Linked DNA regions of Cricetulus griseus. The protein of the gene in region 3 binds, or shares a complex with, the protein of the main gene of each other region. Links are inferred from orthologs where the notes say so. Each region holds a gene or a part of one and is shown on either strand. Other genes may lie near its edges. The genes, in order: Ogt, Phf20, Kansl3, Kansl2 and KAT8 regulatory NSL complex subunit 1.

What was found.
Region 1: Kansl3 (region 3) and Ogt share a complex: the UniProt entries of both Homo sapiens proteins name them as parts of the NSL complex. The link is inferred for Cricetulus griseus from reciprocal best matches to the Homo sapiens genes KANSL3 and OGT.
Region 2: Kansl3 (region 3) and Phf20 share a complex: the UniProt entries of both Homo sapiens proteins name them as parts of the NSL complex. The link is inferred for Cricetulus griseus from reciprocal best matches to the Homo sapiens genes KANSL3 and PHF20.
Region 4: Kansl3 (region 3) and Kansl2 share a complex: the UniProt entries of both Homo sapiens proteins name them as parts of the NSL complex. The link is inferred for Cricetulus griseus from reciprocal best matches to the Homo sapiens genes KANSL3 and KANSL2.
Region 5: Kansl3 (region 3) and KAT8 regulatory NSL complex subunit 1 share a complex: the UniProt entries of both Homo sapiens proteins name them as parts of the NSL complex. The link is inferred for Cricetulus griseus from reciprocal best matches to the Homo sapiens genes KANSL3 and KANSL1.

Annotation. Positions count from the first base shown.
Region 1 is NC_048604.1:68,615,410-68,618,924, forward strand, and holds part of Ogt (UDP-N-acetylglucosamine--peptide N-acetylglucosaminyltransferase 110 kDa subunit), read right to left. Parts: coding exon 3,454-3,515; intron 3,197-3,453; coding exon 3,056-3,196; intron 2,551-3,055; coding exon 2,450-2,550; intron 1,605-2,449; coding exon 1,451-1,604; intron 1,368-1,450; coding exon 1,266-1,367; intron 950-1,265; coding exon 770-949; intron 1-769. UniProt on the Homo sapiens protein: Catalyzes the transfer of a single N-acetylglucosamine from UDP-GlcNAc to a serine or threonine residue in cytoplasmic and nuclear proteins resulting in their modification with a beta-linked N-acetylglucosamine (O-GlcNAc).
Region 2 is NC_048599.1:23,320,047-23,323,561, reverse strand, and holds part of Phf20 (PHD finger protein 20), read left to right. Parts: intron 1-801; coding exon 802-981; intron 982-3,515. UniProt on the Homo sapiens protein: Methyllysine-binding protein, component of the MOF histone acetyltransferase protein complex.
Region 3 is NW_023276807.1:11,846,500-11,850,014, reverse strand, and holds part of Kansl3 (KAT8 regulatory NSL complex subunit 3), read right to left. Parts: coding exon 3,480-3,515; intron 3,089-3,479; coding exon 2,972-3,088; intron 2,731-2,971; coding exon 2,629-2,730; intron 2,523-2,628; coding exon 2,451-2,522; intron 1,046-2,450; coding exon 971-1,045; intron 784-970; coding exon 626-783; intron 1-625. UniProt on the Homo sapiens protein: Non-catalytic component of the NSL histone acetyltransferase complex, a multiprotein complex that mediates histone H4 acetylation at 'Lys-5'- and 'Lys-8' (H4K5ac and H4K8ac) at transcription start sites and promotes transcription initiation.
Region 4 is NC_048595.1:395,010,437-395,013,951, reverse strand, and holds part of Kansl2 (KAT8 regulatory NSL complex subunit 2), read left to right. Parts: intron 1-437; coding exon 438-616; intron 617-948; coding exon 949-1,063; intron 1,064-3,515. UniProt on the Homo sapiens protein: Non-catalytic component of the NSL histone acetyltransferase complex, a multiprotein complex that mediates histone H4 acetylation at 'Lys-5'- and 'Lys-8' (H4K5ac and H4K8ac) at transcription start sites and promotes transcription initiation.
Region 5 is NC_048600.1:117,493,637-117,497,946, forward strand, and holds the start of KAT8 regulatory NSL complex subunit 1, read right to left. Parts: upstream 2,812-4,310; 5' UTR 2,696-2,811; intron 1-2,695. UniProt on the Homo sapiens protein: Non-catalytic component of the NSL histone acetyltransferase complex, a multiprotein complex that mediates histone H4 acetylation at 'Lys-5'- and 'Lys-8' (H4K5ac and H4K8ac) at transcription start sites and promotes transcription initiation.

The DNA.
Region 1 (3,515 bases), on a different chromosome or scaffold from region 3:
GAAGAAATGTGAATTCTATTATGATTATTTTAGGGGATTCTGCAGAAGCATTTTTGTGTAAAAAGGAAGGAAAGAAAAGGGGAAAAGAAATTTTAATCTACTACTGTTTTTTAGAACAGATCCCAAACTCTTATCAGTTGAGTTGAGTTTGACAATTGTCAAAGTTGAGTATATAATACCATACACTTTATTTAAACACCAGTGGGGCTTTGGTTGTTGTTGCCTTTAGTTTGTTTTTTGTTGTTGTTTTTGGTTTTTGGTTTTTCAAGACAAGGTTTCTCTGTGTAGCTTTGGAGCCTATCCTGGCACTCGCTCTGGAGACCAGGCTGGTCTCGAACTCACAGAGATCCGCCTGCCTCTGCCTCCAGAGTGCTGGGATTAAAGGCAAGCGCCACCAACGCCCGGCCTTTTAGTTTGCTCTTAAGATGTTCTTATTAAGTGGAGATTTTTGCTTGATTTTGTTTTTGAGGCAGGAGATTGCTATATAGCCCAGGCTGGCCTCAATTCACAATCCTCTTAAGTGTTGAAAGTATTGGGATTATAGGTTTGCACCACTATACCTAGCTGTGATTTTCACCTTACGGAAAACAAGTCTCCATCCTTGTTTGGAGTGAAGGAAGTTCAACTGAACACAGGACACACTGAGAGTGGCTAAGAAAGTTTCAATTTCTTGACTTGGGTGATGTTACCATACCTTACATTTGATTTGTACAATGTTTTTATTTATTTGCATTGTAGTTTATAACGGAAAAATTAAAGCAAGAGTCACCTTATCCAAGCAGAGATTCCCGTGCCTCTCTGCAATAGCCTTCCTGAAGCCATGAGAAAGAGGGTACAGCATACTGTGATGAGGATGCACAGAAGGCAGCCTATTCTTCTCTAGCTGTTCAGCTACAATACTAACCAATTTCTTCATTCGCTCATCATAGTCTGTCCAATCACAGACAATCTAGAGGAAGCAAAAGGAAATTATCATCACCCAGAAAACCTAGCCAAGGATTTATTTTACAAGTCTTTGACTTCCTAAAATAGTATTAGATAACCTCCTAAAAACATGGTCTTGGGGCTGGTTCACTGAAAGCCTGACAACTGGAGTTCAATGCCTGGGACCCACGTGTTAAGAGAGAAATGACTCCTGAAAGCGGCCCACTGCCCTCCACTTGCTAAAAAATAACAATCTCCAGCCAGGCTTGGATATTATGGCACATAAAAATTAAAAAGTGGTAATAATACATAAAGAAAAACACTGGACTATAATTCTTTACCTGCAAGCAATGAGCCAAGTTACAATAGGCATCAGGAAAGTCAGGCTTAAGTTTCAGAGCTGTGCGGTAAGAAGCTATTGCTTCTGGGATATTCCCTGAATCCTGGAAGGAAAGCAAGCTCATAAGGAGTTTCCTACAATGAAACTTCAGTGCTAAGGTGCCCATGTTAGACTAAGTAGCAGTACCTTGTGAATGGAAGCCAGATTGCTGTGTGCATCTGCAAAGGCAGGATTAATCTGAATGGCACGAGTATAACACTGCAAAGCTCCTTGAACATCTTGCATCTCCTTTAGAGTGTTTCCCATATTAGAGTAAGCATCAGCAAATGTAGGACTGATTCTGAAGGAGAACAGAAGGGTTTGATTATCTCCTGTAAAATCTTTAATGTTATCAAAGTATTTGGAAAAGCTGGGCATGGAGGCACACACCTTTAAGTCTAGTATTAGGGAGGCAGAGGCAGATGGATCTCTGTTGAGTTCTAGGCCAGCCTGTTTTACAGAGTTCCAGAACAGGCTCCAAAGCTACAGAGAAACCCAGACTTGAAAAACCCAGATAAATAAATAAATAAATAAATAAATAAATAAATAAATAATAGGGGGGAGGAGAGAAGGGGGGAGGGGAGGAAATGGGAGGGGAGGGGTTGCTGATGTGGATGGGGGAAAGCCCATGAAGCCTCAACCCCACACCAAGAAATACAGGTATCTAAGGAATGCTGAGTGGGAGAAATAGTCATCTACAGTGAAGAACACTAACTGGTTATCTAATACCAAATAGTCAGCTCTGAAAAAATATATCTGAGTAACATTATACATATTGAGCAAATTATATTTAGAAACATATCTGCGCAGGCAGTGGTGGTACACGCCTTTAATCCCAGCACTCAGGAGGCTGAGGCAGGCAGATCTCTGTGAGTTCGAGATCAGCCTGGTCTACACGAGCGAGTGCCAGGATAGGCTCCAACGCCACAGAGAAACTCTGTCTCGAAAAAAAACATAAAAATAAAGAAGGAAACATATCTGCATATAAAAACATACATTTATGCATGTCACAACAATTAATGGAGGAAGAGGCCATGAATCTGAAAGCAAGGAGAGTATACAGGAGGGTTTTGCAGGGAAGGGTAAATGGTACAATTATATTATAATCTCAAAAAGAAGAATAGAAAAAAGCTATAAACTTTTTACCTTATGGCTTCCTTATAATGCATCAGTGCTTCCTGCAGCTTGCCCTGTTGTTGCAGTACACTTGCTAAATTGGAATGTGCAGCAGCAAACTCTGGGAAGACCTACAGAGTCACAATCACAGCTGACATTAAATAGCATAATCTCCCAATTACCTCCCACAACTCTGAGAACTTCACAACATATCTTATCTTCTCTCCACCTTTTCCAAGTTTATTCATTCTTCTGGTCTAATAGCTTAAATTCTACTGCTTCCTCCATTTTATCCCTATCTTCATTTCAAACTTGACATAGGCCTCGCTTCCTGTTACTCATACTGAGTAATGCAGCCTCTTTTCTAAACTCCTACCACACCTACCAACCACTAGACACTGACCTTATTTCTTCCTTGTAATAGCTTTACTCAGCTTACTAGTCATTAGCTTTGTACAGATCTCATCTATGCATAAAATAATGAACTCAGTGTAGGGATGTCTCGTATGCCATAGGTCCTTCCATAAGACAATGAATGATCCTCTTTAAGAAGTGAATGGCAGGCAAACAACTTAACTTCTTTCCCTCTACTGTCACACAGGCTAGCTAGACACCCAGCTACAGCATTCAACATACTTCTAATGCTTTGCGATATAGGCGGACTGCCTCTTCAATATTGCCCTGTTCCCGTTTGATATTGGCAAGGTTATTCAAAGAGTCTGCATGGGTAGGACACAGACGAAGAGCTGTGTTATAACAATCTTCTGCTTCAGCAACCTAGAAAATAAAAAAAAAAAACATTCAAACACTACACAAAAGAATCAGAGAAACCACTGATGTTCTAGTAATTTAACTGCATCATTGAGCCTAATGGCTAGTAATATACCACAAAATGGATATGTTTTAGTATTCTCCTTTCCATCAACCAAAACTCCAAAAACCAATATACCCATCTCAATACTTAACATGTACAATGAAGACTTTTCTTTTCTCCCACATAACAGAGAAATAAAAATAGACTGAAAAATCCTTACGCTGCCCTTCTCTTTGAGAGCATTTGCTAGGTTGCAGTAAGCATCGGGGAAATGTGGCTGCA
Region 2 (3,515 bases), on a different chromosome or scaffold from region 3:
TTTTTTGGTGTTTTTTACTTATTTTCCATTCTGTGTGTTAGGCTGGCAGCACGTGGCTTGGGCAGCCCTGCTTTTCTGCCTTTTTGATGCTGCCTCACTCTGTGTGCATTTTTGCTGACCTTCTTTCACTTTAACCAATTCTTTGAAGTACTTATAGCCCTTGCTGTATGGGTAGAAGGCCTTTTTTTTTTTCTTCTTTAATTTTTAAAAAATCACCTATTACTTATTTTTGTGTGTGCATGTCTGCACTTGTGCCACAGGATGTGTGGTCAGGAGATAACTTGTGGGACTTGTTTTCTTTGCCGAATAGGAACTGGGGATTGACTACAGATTGTCTGGCTTGGAAGCATCTGTTGGCTGGCTCTGTCTGTCTGTCTGTCTTTTGAAATGAAACCTCATTATGGCCTGGAACTCATTCTGCAGATTAGGCTGGCCTCGAACTCCACCTGCCTCTGCCTTTCAAATGCTGGGATTAAAGATGTGTGCTACCAACCTTGGTCCTCTTTTTCCCTCTGGTTTCCTTCCTTTCTCTCTTTTTAATGTGTCTGTTCCAACACCCGCAGAAGAGCATTGGATGCCCTGGATTTGGAGTTGCGGGTGGTTTTGAACTGCCTAACGTGCTGCTGGGATGTGCACTTGAGTCGTGTGTGGTCTGACTCTGAACCATCCCTCCAGCCCCTGAAGAGTGGCCTCACATATTGTCTTCTAAGGCGTCTCAGGCTTCCTAGTGTGTTTTGGAACTCTTTATTTCTTGATTGTTTACATATATATTTCCCAAGCACTCTTTATTTCTTCCTCTAGGTCAGTTGAACTCTCCATTGGAAGCTGGCCAGGTCTCATCTGTATTAACTTGCCACTCCTCTGGGGATGGACTGGGAGCTGCAGGCTTGGAGTTGAACTGCAAGTCAATGGGAGAAAACACTATGAAAACTGAACCGGTGTCTCCTCTTGCTGAGGCGCAGGAGGTTTCGACTGTTGAAGGTGTGTGTTTAGAATGAACTTAATTGTGTATACTTTTGTATATGTGTATACTTACTCTTTTACTTAAACTATAAGGTGTGTGTTTGTTTGTTTGTTTTCTGAGACAGGGTTTCTCCGTGTAGCCCTGGCTATCCTGGAACTTGCTCTGTAGGCGAGGCCTGCCTCTGCCTCCTGAGTGCTGGGACTAAAGGTGAGCACCCCAGCCACCACCCAGCTCATTAGTAATATTTTAAGGCCTTCACACCTATACTATAATCTCCACATTAGAGAAGCAGAAGTAGAAGCATTGTCACATGTTCAAGACCAGCCTCATTTAAGTAGAGGGCTCCAGGCTAGCCAAGGTTTCACAGTGAGGCGATCTCAAAAGATACATACATACATACATACATACATACATACATACATACATACATACATACATACATACATACTGGAATAAAAGCCCGAGTGAGTGAGTGAGTGTGTGTGTGTGTGTGTGTGTGTGTGTGTGTGTGTGTGTGTGTGTGTTTCAGACAATCTCACTATGTAGCTCTGGCTGTCCCCTATGTAGACCAGGCTGGCCTATAACTCACAGAGATCTTCCTACCTCTCTCTTCCCAGTGCTGAGATTAAAGATGTACGCCACCATTCCTGGAAAAATTCTTTAATTTAATGCTATGCTCCATTCATTTCTGATTTTGTTACTATATTCTCTTGTGGTAAATTTGACTATCATCAATTTTATTGATCACTTCAAAGAGGTAACCTGGTTAGTTTCTCTATTGTTTTGTCTCTAAAAGATTTGTCCTAGCTTTCTAGGATCTTATAGTTGTTTTAGCCCTGTCATCTTTTCCCCCAGTATGTGTGTGTTTGTGTTTGTATATGTATGGTTGCACATCTACCCATTTAATCAGTAGATGTTAAATGCATGTAAGTTCCAGACCTTATTCTAAACTGTCTTACTTGTGAATGTTCTGTATGTACAGAACATAGATTCATGTGGTTTCTAGATCAGTAGCTCTAACCTCCATAGTCTTGGTGGTTGCTGGTTTATTATAAAGTGAACAGAAAGGCATTTGCCACAGAGCATTAGAAGCCAACAAGTGTTGCAGTTTTAAGTAGGTCTATTTACCATAATGCCTAAAAGAATTGTAGTTTTCACAAACTTAGGTTCTTTAGGCTGTTTGTTTGTTTGAGACTCACTTTGTAGCCCAAGTTGGCTTAGCACTCACTGTGTAGCCCAGGCTATCCCCAAACTCCTAGCCATTCTTCTGTCTCAGCCTCTGAGCGCTAGAATTGCAGGCATAAGTCTCCTGGTTCTGTTTTCTTAAGACTAGTCTTAGATATGTAATCATTCTACTTTGGGAAGTTGTGTCTATAGCCCACTGTATCACCAAGTGGGCTTATCAATTTAAGCCCTCCTGTGTTTTTTTGTCTAACAGAATGGATAATCAAGATGTGAACTCCAGAAGCCCTTAAAATAAATACTGAGAATAGAATGTCCGCACCCCTGTGTGCCTGCTGTGGAGGAACTAAACTCAGAACTCCCTCTCTGAGTCCTCCTGTGTGCCAAAGAGTTCTGGCTGTTCATTTTACAAAGATGAATGGGCATTCTTGGGCTTAGTGTTCTTAACTGCCTCCGGGAGAGAGGTGCGATTTCGGCAGGAGTGGAGGAAGGGTCTTGGAAGGTGCCAGGTAGTCATTTGAAGATGGGCGCAAAGCACTGTGTGGCCCATGAGCCTATCAGGTGTGTGCTTTTTAACTTAACTTAATTGCAGGCTTCCTAAAATAGGTTAAGACCTAACCAGAAAATTGCTGTCAATCTGAGGCCATTTGCTTTGAGGAATTTGTGGAGTTCTTGACTTTGAAGTTAAGTCTAACTTTATAGTAGACAAAGGAGCCCGATAAGTTGCAAGAAGAAGCAACTCATTCAAAACTCTCTGCTTCTATGAATTGCTAGTGTGGTCCCAAATCCTGCCCTCCTGCCGTGTCCCCATCCCACCTGATGAGCTGCTGGGTCACATCTGTGAACACAGGAGAGGAGAGCACAATTGCTGCCTGGAGGGATTTTGTACAATGTAAGGTGCAGGCCCATCTGTTTCCTAGGTGCTTGTTTGTCACAGTCTTGTGTCCACTCTGAATGAGAGGCAGCATGCAGTAGATGATCAGGACTTAAGCCTTTGTAGCTAAAGGGAGACAATTGTCCTAGAAGCAGAATAGTGTTCCTGGGGTTTGTTTTGAAACAAGGGCTCTGTGGGAAATACAGATGATACAGAAAGCTTGCCGGGAGGAAGGCCACTAAAGACTCATGCTCCAGGAATGTGTTATATAAGTGAACAGGAAACGGGCTGAGATGTCAGCAGAACAGCCACAGGGAGCAGGGGCTGCTAGATGCAGCATAGTTACTGGGTAGTGACTGTTCTATAGGTTACCGCCGCAGCTTTGGTGTTCCCAAACCTAGATGGAGTCATGTCTGTGTGAGAGACTCCTAGGCAGCAGTTGCAGCTGGCATAAACAACATGTCAGAGAAGGCTGGCAGCTGGGCCTCCCAAAGC
Region 3 (3,515 bases):
GTATCCCCTGACTGACAGAATACATTGAACATCTTCAATGTAATCCTAAAATACTTTTTAAAAACTATCTGTAGCATAACTGGTCAGCTGTCTTTAATGGTGTTAAGGTCACAGAAAACAAACACTGAAGACTGGGTATGGAGATTTAGTAGTTAGGTCAGAAGGATGTCTTCAGTAAGGGTCATCCTCAGTACATGGTAAATCTGAGTTCAGCCTAGGCTACAAGAAATCCTATCTCAAAAAAGAGACACAGACACTAGGTAGACACTGATGAAATCTAAGTTTGTTATTTAGACTAGACAATGCTATCAAATTGACATTAGTTTCCTCATTTTAAGATTGTATTTTGGTTATACAAGAAACTTAGGTGAAGGATACATGAGATTTCGTATTTTTTGTACTATTTTTACAGCTTTTTGTTTTAAGTTTTTGAGACAAGTTCAAGGGCCAGGCTGGCCTCAAACTGAATCCTTCTGCTTCAGCCTTCTGAACATATATTGGGATTATAGGATGCAACTTTTAATTGTAATTTTGGTCACGCTGGTCTGTCATTACACTGACCCCAGACAAGAAATTTTTTAACATTCTAACATGTTCCCTCTCAGCTCTAGAGCAATGCACCCACCTGAGATTATCATCAGCGCCCCCAACCACCACCAAGCTATTTTCTGCTCTAATCTTTTCCCGGAAGTCCTCCATGGCTTCGGGGTGACACTGTAGAGAATTCTGACCAATGACAAAGAGGACTGGTGTCTTCATGTCCAAGAGGGGATCATCCACATCCTAAAAGAGGAAGGCAGCAGTTTAGATTCAGCCAATTGGTGCTCAGGAAGCACTGACTGACCTTGAATCGGTTCAGAAACTGAACCTGCGTCAGCTGTGAACCTGTGGGAGGCCTCACTCCACTGTCCCACATTCCTGCTGCCCCCACTCCACTGCCAAAGACCAACCAGTTTCACCTCGCTCTTACCCCCCGGGGGCCATCCACAGTAAGCAGAGGAAACCCAAGGCAGACAACTGCAGTGACATACTCCATCACAGACACCTGTAAATAAAGGCACCATTCATCTTTTGGCAAGTGAATTCACTGTACCTCAGCCTCCCCAGACTGCAGGTGGGACTGGCTAGTTTAGAGCCACCAGTCAGTTCCAGCTTTTCTTGCTTGTCCTAGCTTTCATTTTTGTTAGCCATGACATGATTAAGTGTACAAAACACAGGCAGTCACTTCCTAGAGAACTGGAGCCCTGACAGACCCCCACATACACCGGAGCCTGATAGAGTTGTCACTTTTCAGCCCTGAGAGCAACCTCAACTAGAGCCCTCTTGACTGACTTTGTTATTGAGAACAAATATAAGCAAAAGAACATAAATGTTGCCAGGCAGGGAGATACAGCTAGTTCAGAGTAGCACAATTACCTCACATGTGCAAGCCCTGGGTTCCATCCTCAGAACACAGAGAAACACCCCACAACATAGACAAAACTTAATACCAGCCTGTCCCTTAAGTGGAGAAATCTCTTATCAGTGGTTTTCAGGGCTAGTTCCTACACAGCTGAGACTTCTCAAAGTAAGTGACTACTGAGAGGTCTGGCCTCGGGTGTGCAGATTATAGCAGACACTTGCTATCTCACTACTCTAGATAGCATACTTGACTACACTAGTTGAAGAAATGGAGCTTTCAAAAGTCAAGGATACTTACACAAGCTTACATATACATGCCAAAAAAAAAAAAAAAATGTCCATTGATACTTATTAAAGGAAGCAAACACAAATACAACATCAAATTCAAAACTACTAATCTGTCCCCATTTGAAATGTTAAGGAGAGAGCACAGGTATTGAAGTCTGGAAGTGTTTGGAACTCCTCCACCCCTCCAGACAGGGTTTCTCTGTGTAGCCCTGGCTGTCCTGGAACTTGCTCTGTAGACCAGGCTTGCCTTGAACTCAAGAGATCCATCTGCCTTTGCCTCCTCTGCCTGGCTATATTTGGAACATTTTAATACTGTTTTCTTTTCCTAAGAAGTTTGGGCTAGCCCAGAACTCATTATTATAGCCCAAGCTAGCACCAAACTCATGGCAATCTTCCTGCCTCAGCCTACCTAGTGCTAAGATTATAACCATGTGTCATCATACTTTGAAACTTTCTTCAAAATAATCTGGAGCACAGAGAAAGTGGGCAGGAATAAGACAAAAGTAAGCCTGGCTATGAGTTGAACTCTGGTAAAACTAGGAGATCAAAGAATTTACTCACTACTCTATTCTTGCTATAGTAACATTTCCATTACAACATTTAAAAACTAATGAGATTGTCTTCCACAATGTAAATGCAGTTTCCCATGCTAAGTATCTAGCACAAAGACAAAGAAGAATTCAAAGTAATAATAGCAGCACTGTTTTTCATGACCACATTTAAGTTTTCAGTGTTCTCCAAATAAAACAGAAATTACTTACATGACAGGCCACCAAAGCTCCTGTATTCCATCCAATCAAGATGATGGGTTTGTGTGGGAAATGGCTGTGAATCTTTATGGCAAGAAAAAGAAGAGAGTAAATAGGAGACTGTGCATGGGCACAGAGCAATCCCACACTACTGGGTGCCCTTCTGTGAACCAAACCTGGGCATTCTCACCTCCAGCACTTTGCTTCTCACTGCCCCAATCATGTGTTCAAGGCACTGCAGAACTCCTACCCCACTACCATTGTTCAGCAGATGGGTGGCTACAGGAATGACCTAAAGGGAAGAAAGAGCATCCACGTCAGAAGGGCCAAGTTTCAAACCTCAATTCTGCTTAACTCATCCCAAATCTCTGAGACAGGTGATACAAACACAAAAAGGGTTTCCAGAGTTTATACCCTTAGAGATAAGGGGATAAACCACATTTGAGTTCAATAAATTTGACCCCTCCCCCACACCCTTCCCTTTAACCCCTAAGACTACAATCCTACCCAGAACTCCTTGTTCTTACAATTACCTTGCCTAAGCAGGAAAGCTGCGACTGCCAGAAGCGGTGGCGGCGTGAGGCAGGGAACACAGAACTGGAGGGACCAGAGGAGGCGATGAGAATCAAAGGAGAGCCAGGGAGTTTACTCTGAGGAGACAGAATCCCATCCAAGAACCACTGAGTGAGAAGTATTCATTCATCTTTATATAAACTCTCAACAACTACATCCCAACAGCTTATACCAACCACTGATCCTTTGCTGGAGAGACAGCTCAGCAGTTAAAAGCACTCACTGCTCTTCCGGGGAAGCAGAGTTCAATTGCCAGCACCCATGTCAAGTGCCTGTAACTCAGTTCCCTCTTCTGACCTCCATGAACACCTGCACTGAAGTGCAGAATCCCACTTTAAAAATAAATGAATCTTTAAGAAGAACCCAAGCTATTAATGAGAAAGTTAAGCCACTTATCTTCCCTTGCCAAACCTCTAAGGCTCAGTCTGAACATTGTATGTGCCAGTTAAGGCTGAGCAACCAACTTACTGGTTTGTTATGAGAAAGCACACCAACGGCAGGGTC
Region 4 (3,515 bases), on a different chromosome or scaffold from region 3:
TTTAATAACAGCTTGTGTGGGCTGGTGATATCATGGTGTTAGAGTCCTTCCATGAATGGGGCTCTGGGTTTGACTTTGAGCATTACACATAACACACTAAGCAAAAACAAAACTCAGGGTGAGTTGACTTGGAAGCAGTCAAGTTTCTGGTCCAAATGAGACAGCATCTCATGTAGTCCTGGCTGTTGGGTAACTCACTCTGTATACCAGGCTGGCCTCGAACTTCGAGATCCAGCTGCCTCTGCCTTCTGAGCACTAGGACTAAAGGCGTGCACCACCACCACCACCACCACCCCTGGCTTTCGCACTGGTCTTCAAGGTGTGAATATAATAATCATTTTAAATTTCTTAAAGACAAAAAAAGTTATTTGGTGGCTGAATATTGCTAACTCCTTTCAAGAAAGAACTGATTAAATATTAATGTTTTGTCTCCTTAGGGTATCTTTCTGTGCCGAACATGCTCGAAGGAATGCCCTAGCACTTCATGCTCAAATGAAGAAGAACAATCCAGGCCCTATGGGTGAAACCCTCTTATGCCAGTTGAGCTCATATGCTAAAACAGAGCTGGGCTCTCAGACCCCAGAGAGCAGTCGAAGCGAAGCTAGCCGGATACTGGGTAAGGATGTCAGGGTCTTCTCTGCTGGTGTCAAAAAGGAAGAAGCTAAAGAATGAACTTGGTTTAGTTCAAGGCTTTGTGCATTTGTGGTTGTTACTGGGAATTTGGTGAGAAATCCAGGATTGCTATTGCTAGTTAGTTGTTTTGCTTAGATACATTGTTTTGTTTAGATACATTCTCCTGATCTGCTGATCTTTCCTTCTGTTAAATTTTTAAAAAGTTAAAAAATTTGAATTTTAAGGTTTCAGGTTCATCTCTTAAGTAATGTAGCTTCATGTGTGGAGTTACAGAGGTGGGAAGTCTTAATGGCTATTCTTCCTTCCTTGCCTCAGATGAAGACAGCTGGAGTGATGGGGACCAGGAACCCATTACTGTGGATCAGACATGGAGAGGTGACCCTGACAGTGAAGCTGATAGCATAGACAGTGATCAAGAAGATCCCCTAAAGTAAGTTGTAACTCCACCTAAGGCTTTTACATATTTTATGTAGTTAGTATGTGAAATGTAGTGAGGCATGTGGTTAATTAATACAAGTGGGTTTAAGTGTCATGGTTCAACACCATCTTGCTCCAAGGCAAGATTTCTTGATTCTTTTATGGAAGTCTTGGAACTGAGTTATGCCCATGAGATGTTATAGGGAAGAAAGATACCTTGACATAGGAATGGGAGGGAGATAGACAGAAAAGCACTGGCTGGCTAGAGAAGAGAAAATGGATTTAAATACATGCTTGTCATAAATCTCAGAAATAATGAGCTATTATACTTGGACACTTGCTGCAAAATTCTATGGTTCTGACTTTTTAAATGGGAAATAAAAGTGCTCAGTAATTTGTTTTGGTTTCATGTCTAATGAAAGGAAAACTGATTTAATTATATGTTAAGGTCTGCTGTAACCCCTGGTCATCTAAGAGTTGTAGAAATATTGAACATTGCCATTGAAATCTAATAATTTTTTGAGGCAGGATCTCATTATGTATCTCTGACTGGCTCAGGCTTCTGTTTCTTCTAGTACTAGTTTTTGAATCATCTTAGGGTTAGATACTATGTCTTCACTTATGTATTACAGTTTCTTTGTAACAGTCCTGGCTGTCCTGGAACTCATTTTGCAAGCCAGGCTGGCCTTGAACTAACCGAAATCCACCTGCTCTGCCCCCAGAGCGCTGGGATTAAAGGTGTGTGCCACCACCCAGCTTTTTATTGGTTTTTTTGAAGACAGGGTTTCTCCGAGTTGCCCTGGCTGCTCTGGAATTCATTCTGTAGACCAGGCTGGCAGGGAAATCCGATCCTCTTGCCTCTGCCTCCCCAGTACTGGGATTAAAGCAGTGTGCCAAATTGTTGGGTAGGTATTTATATTGTTGTTGAATACACTTAATGTACTGCAGTAACTGATTTTTTTCACACTATAGTTATATAGATGGGATTTTTTTCTTCAAAGTAACCATTAAATTGCTTTGTAAAACATAATCTTAACAATTTCATTTTTAAAGCTTATTTACAAGATTTATAACATTTTAGCCAAAGTATAATGGTTAGGTCTTGTTTCCTTTTAAAATTTGACTTCCATACTATTGTTTATATTCTCTGCTGCTAGAGTGAAAAATAATTTCCTATTACTTGTTTTTAGTTTTGGATTTTTGAGGCAGAGTCTACCTGATCAGCCCTGATTGACCTCAGACTTAAATATTCATTCTTCCTGAGCCTCCTTAGTTCTGGGATGACAGGCATGCATTACCATGCCTGCTTTAATTTCATTTTAATAAACTTGTCATTAGGTTAGTGTTTTATATCACTTATTAATGCAGGCATAGCCTATTACCTTGTTTACATAGGAAGAATTACTTTTACTCCCCCCCCCCCCCCCCAGACAGGGTTTCTACTACACAGAGTAGCTTTGGAGCCTATCCTGGCACTCACTCTGGAGACCAGGCTGGCCTCGAACTCACAGAGATAAGCCTGCCTCTGCCTCCCAAGTGCTGGGATTAAAGGCGTGCACCACCAACGCCCGGCTACTTTTACTTTTTTCAAAATAAAGGGTTTATGTAAGTGTTTTGCCTTCGTATGTAGTGTGCCACATGTATGTCTGATTTCCATAGAGGTCAGAAGAGGTCACTGAATACACTGGAACCAGAGTACTGCATGGTTGTAAGCCACCATGTGGTTACCTCTGTAATAAGTGGTCTTAACACCCCCCCCCCCCCCTGCCGCCCCAAGCTATCTCTCATCATTCTTATAAGACAGCATCTGTGTATCCATGGCTGGCCTTGAACTTAAGAACCTCCTGCCTCTGCCTCATGAGGGATAGGGTTGCAGGTGTGGGCCACCATACCTGACTGGGTGTCATAATTTTTACAGTTTTCTGGTTTTGTTCTTTTTTTTTTTCCAAAGATTTTATTTATTATGTATACAACATTCTGCTTCCATGTACATCTGCACACCAGAAGAGGGCACCAGATCTCATAACAGATGGTTGTGAGCCACCATATGGTTGCTGGGAATTGAACTCAGTACTTCTGGAAGAGCAGTCGGTGCTCTTAACCTCTGAGCCATCTCTCCAGCCCCTGGTTTTGTTCTTGATTTTTCTTTTCTGTTTTACTTGACTTTTCTTTGACGTTAACTACTATTCTAAATACGTGCATATTGGTTTCACTTTTAAAGTTTTGGCAGATTTGCTTTCAGTCCTGAAGTAAATTTTTTTCTGTATTCTGTATATTTCAGAATATAGGGAAAAATGTTTTTAAGACCCGGTCTCATGTACCTCAGGCTGTTCTCAATAGGCTGTGGAGCCAAGGATGACTTTAAACTCCTCATCTGAGTGCTCTGATTATAGGAATGCATCAACCATACTTTATGTATGTACTTTTTTTTTTTTTTGGAGCCAAGGTCTATATAACCCTGTCTG
Region 5 (4,310 bases), on a different chromosome or scaffold from region 3:
ACATTTGCCATGATGTATACACTTTAATTAAAGTCTCATTTCTTTTTATTTAAAAATATAACTTGGTGGTGGTGTGGCAGTGCATGCTTTTAATCCTAGCACTTGGGAGGCAGAGGCAGACAGTTCTCTGTGAGTTTGAGGCCAGCCTGATCTACAGAGATCCAGGACAGTCAAGGCTACACAGAGAAACCCTGTTTCAAAAACAAAAACAAAGGGCTAGAGACATAGCTCAGTGGTTATGAGCACTGGCTACTCTTCCAGAGGACCTACCACATGGCAGTTCACACCTGTCTGTAACTCCTGTCTGTAACTCCTGTTCTAGGGGATCTGACACCTTCACACAGACATACATGCAGGCAAAACGCCAACATACATAAAATACAAGTAAAAAATTTAATTAATAAAATAAAAAAAACTCTAATTTGAAAATATAGAAAAAAACGTACTGTTTCTGCCAATTTAAACGTATTTTGAAATGTTAAGTATAAAAAATGGGAGGAAGGGGCTGGAGAGATGGCTCAGCGGTCAAAGGCACTGACTACTCTTCGAGAGGACCGGAGTTCAAATCCCAGAACCCCTATGCACTTCAACGCTGTTTGTAACTCCCAAGATCTGTCACTCCCACACAGGCATACCTGCAGGCAAAGCACCAATGCATATAAAAAGTAAATACATTAAAAAAAAAAAAAACTGATTTCTAAAAAAAAAAAAATAAAGGTAGAAAATGTGAAGAAAAAAAAAAAACTGTTTATGGCTTATGCCTGAAATCTCAGCACTTGGGAGGCAGAGTCATTAGAGTACTAGGCCAGTCTAGACCATATAGCAAGATTCTATCTCAAAACAACAAAGCTTAAACTTAGCACAGTTTTACACCGATCAAAGGATTGGTAGGAAACATAAAACTAAGGCAGCCACATAATTACATTCTCGAGTAGTTAAGAGATAATAATTCATACTTACTATAGGACACTGACTGTATTTCCGACAAGTCAAAGGACTCTGGTAATTCCCCAGGTTTACCATTAGAGGTAAAACCTTAAACACTTCACACATCTTTAAAAAGTAGGCCTCAATATATTTAATACCTTAAAACCAAGGAAGCTGAAACATGAAATCTAATATACTGGTCATAGAAGTCAGCAAGTCCTGATGGCTCAGCAGTTAAGAATACTAACTAATAGGACCCAGGGTTCAATCCCAGCACCCACATGGCAGCTTACCACTGTCTGTCAACTCCAGTTCCAGGAGTTCTGACACTGTGACACAGATATACATGCAGGCAAAAAACCAACACACATAAATAAAAATAAATGTATTTTTTTAAAAAAGGAAATGAAAACACAATTATACAAGGTCCTCCAGTTCCTAGGCAATCGATTCTTCAGACTGTTTCCCCATTCAATCCCTCCAGCTGTACCATGGGGAAAAGACTGCAAAGAATGAGTCACTTTGGACCCCTTTATATTAATATATGCACTCATCCAACAAGAGCAGCCAGAACAAAAGTGAGGATAAGATCCAGTCTACATTACCTAAAGATTTCCCAAAAGTCCAAATATTTAGGTTACACAGACTGCATTATTCTGATTTACCCACTATACTATTCTGGAATTACATGGAGCAGATCAAAACAATCTTAACTATATCATTATCTAACTCTCAAGGAAGGCGAGGCTGACAGAGGACTTCTAGCACTACTTATCAGTTCTTGGTCCTCCCTCTCACTTCCTCACTTTCAAGCCTTAAGCTCAGTCTTCTGCTTAGCCCTAACCAAGAGTTCTTCTGCCATCTCCGAACAGATCAGAAAGAACCATAAGAGACAAATGGTCACTGTCCCACATTGCCCTTGAAATGAAAGGACACAATGGCTACCTGTTGAAAAAAATTAGTGTAAGGGTTCATGAACTGGCCTAAGGAGCAGCAGATGAAGAGTTGTACACATAAACCTTAATATACTATATGAAACTTCAGAGTAAACAAATGGTTAATGACACATCTTTTGTAACACATGAATCAGCTCTGATTTGCAAAAGTGGGACACACCCAAGTTCATATGACTCTAAAGTAAGTACCTGTTTGAAAATGGACCTCAAAGTCTGAATTGCCAACCCCATAAGCCAGGTTTGGAACAGAATTTTACTAGTATGCAAGCTGTAATAATTTAAGGTTTAAAAAAAAAAAAAAAAAAATGAACTCTGGGGCTGGAGAGATGGCTCAGTGGTTAAGAGCTCTGGCTACTCTTCCAGAGGACCCAGGTTCAATTCCCAGCACCCACATGGTAGCTCACAACTGTCTGTAACTCCAGTTCCAGATACCTCCACACCAATGCACATAAAATAAAGTTAAATAAATTATTTTAAAAAATGAACTCATCATTATAATAAAAGTTAATTTGAGAACTTCATTAATATTTTAACACCAATCAAGAACAGCAATAATACAAATCCTAAGAAGCTAATAGTCCTCAGGATAAGTATCCTGTAAGGTAATTGAAGAGTTGTAAATTCAAGAACATCCTAGCATTTGGAATGTTGAGACAGGAAGTTCATGAAGTTAAAGGCATGCTTAGCAATCTAAAAAGTTCAAGGCAGCCTGGGCTACCATGAGACCCTGTCTCAAAACACAAATAGCAAACAAATATTCTTGGTTCTAAAACACTCATATGAAGTAATAAGGAAAAACCAATACATCTTACCTTAAGAGGCATCCAAATAGCATTCATAGTGTCAGGAATAGTTCAGATGAGCCTCAGAAAGAAGCAGGGAGAGACTAAGAAATCCCCTCAGTTACCACGGATAAAAGTGGCAAGATCTGAAAAGGAGGATGTTTCATTTAGATGACAATAATCTAGAATATGCAAATAGCTTATTCTATCTGGGAAGGATGCTAAGTGCCAACTGCCTTACCATCCTAGAAAGTGTGCAGGTGTGGCACACACTTTTAATCCCAGCACTCAGAGGAGGCTGAGGCAGGCTGTCATCTAGGAGTTCAACACTGGCCTGGTATACTTAGTGAGTTCAGGGTCAGGCAAGGCTACTTGTTGAGATGGTATCAAACACAAAAACAACAACAAAAGGTACAATATACAATTCTCTTTGGAAAGGGAATTTCACATGTATATTTTACATCAGAGACCATAAATTTTAAATAATCAAAAATTACTTATTAAAGATTCAGAAAACCAAAATCCAGGAGGAAAAGTTATTCTCCCATTCTCCCAGAGTATTATTTCATAAGCACTACTGAAAGTGATTTATTAACTCGTCACCGGAAAAAAAAAGTCTACAGCTACTTTTATTTAATAAATGTAAACCTCTCTGGCAACTCCAATGTCCTAACTTTTCTTAAAATTAAGTTTCAGCCGGGCGTTGGTGGTGCACGCCTTTAATCCCAGCACTGAGGAGGCAGAGGCAGGCGGATCTCTGTGAGTTCGAGACCAGCCTGGTCTACAAGAGCTACAAGTTTCAGGACAGGATCCAAAGCCACAGAGAAACCCTGTCTCAAAAAACCAAAATAAATAAATAAATAAATAAATAAATAAATAAATAAATAAAGTTTCAGAGCTGATTCTACATCATCATCATTATAATAATTGTTGCTATTCTTCACTGAAGTACTACAAGTTAAAAAAAAAAAATGGAGGGGGGGAGAAAAGATCCTTCTTTCCCAGAGATCTTTAAAAGCAGCCCAGAGGAATTAATTTTGAAGATGGTGGGTGCTAAGTGTGTAGGGACGCAAAAGGATGGACTAAATGACCCCTTCCTTGTAGGAGCCTTAAGTCCTAGGCCTGAATGAACATTCCAGCTTAACCAGTTACTGCTTCACTTAAAATGGAGGCTTGCCCGCGTAGGAACACAAAAATAACACACTCACCTCTTTAAAAAAATAATTTCTTAAATTCAGAGTCGAGGTCCCCCGTTTTAAAAATAAAATAAAGCACTGGGGTGGGTTTGCTCTGTCTCCGCGTTTGTCACTTCGGTTAGGGAGACTTGGCATCACTTTGCCTACCGCTCACCGGATTTGGGGGGTGGGGACCGGAGGAGTTTGACTCTTGACCCGACTCGCAGGCGAGCCTGAGCGCCCCTCCCCACCCCCGCCCCCACCCGCGAGGCGACGCGACGCGACCCCCAGGTTCCACAGAACCTCGGGGCCGAGATCCAGAGAGCGCCAGTCCCGCCCCTCCCCCGCCTCCGACCCTCGTCCGGGAGCTCCCCCACCCCCTGCGGCCCGCGACTCCTCCGGCCCGGTCCCATTGTTAGGAGGGGCGGCCGGGGCCGGGGCTCGCGGCCGGAGCCCGTGGCCGTTGCCCG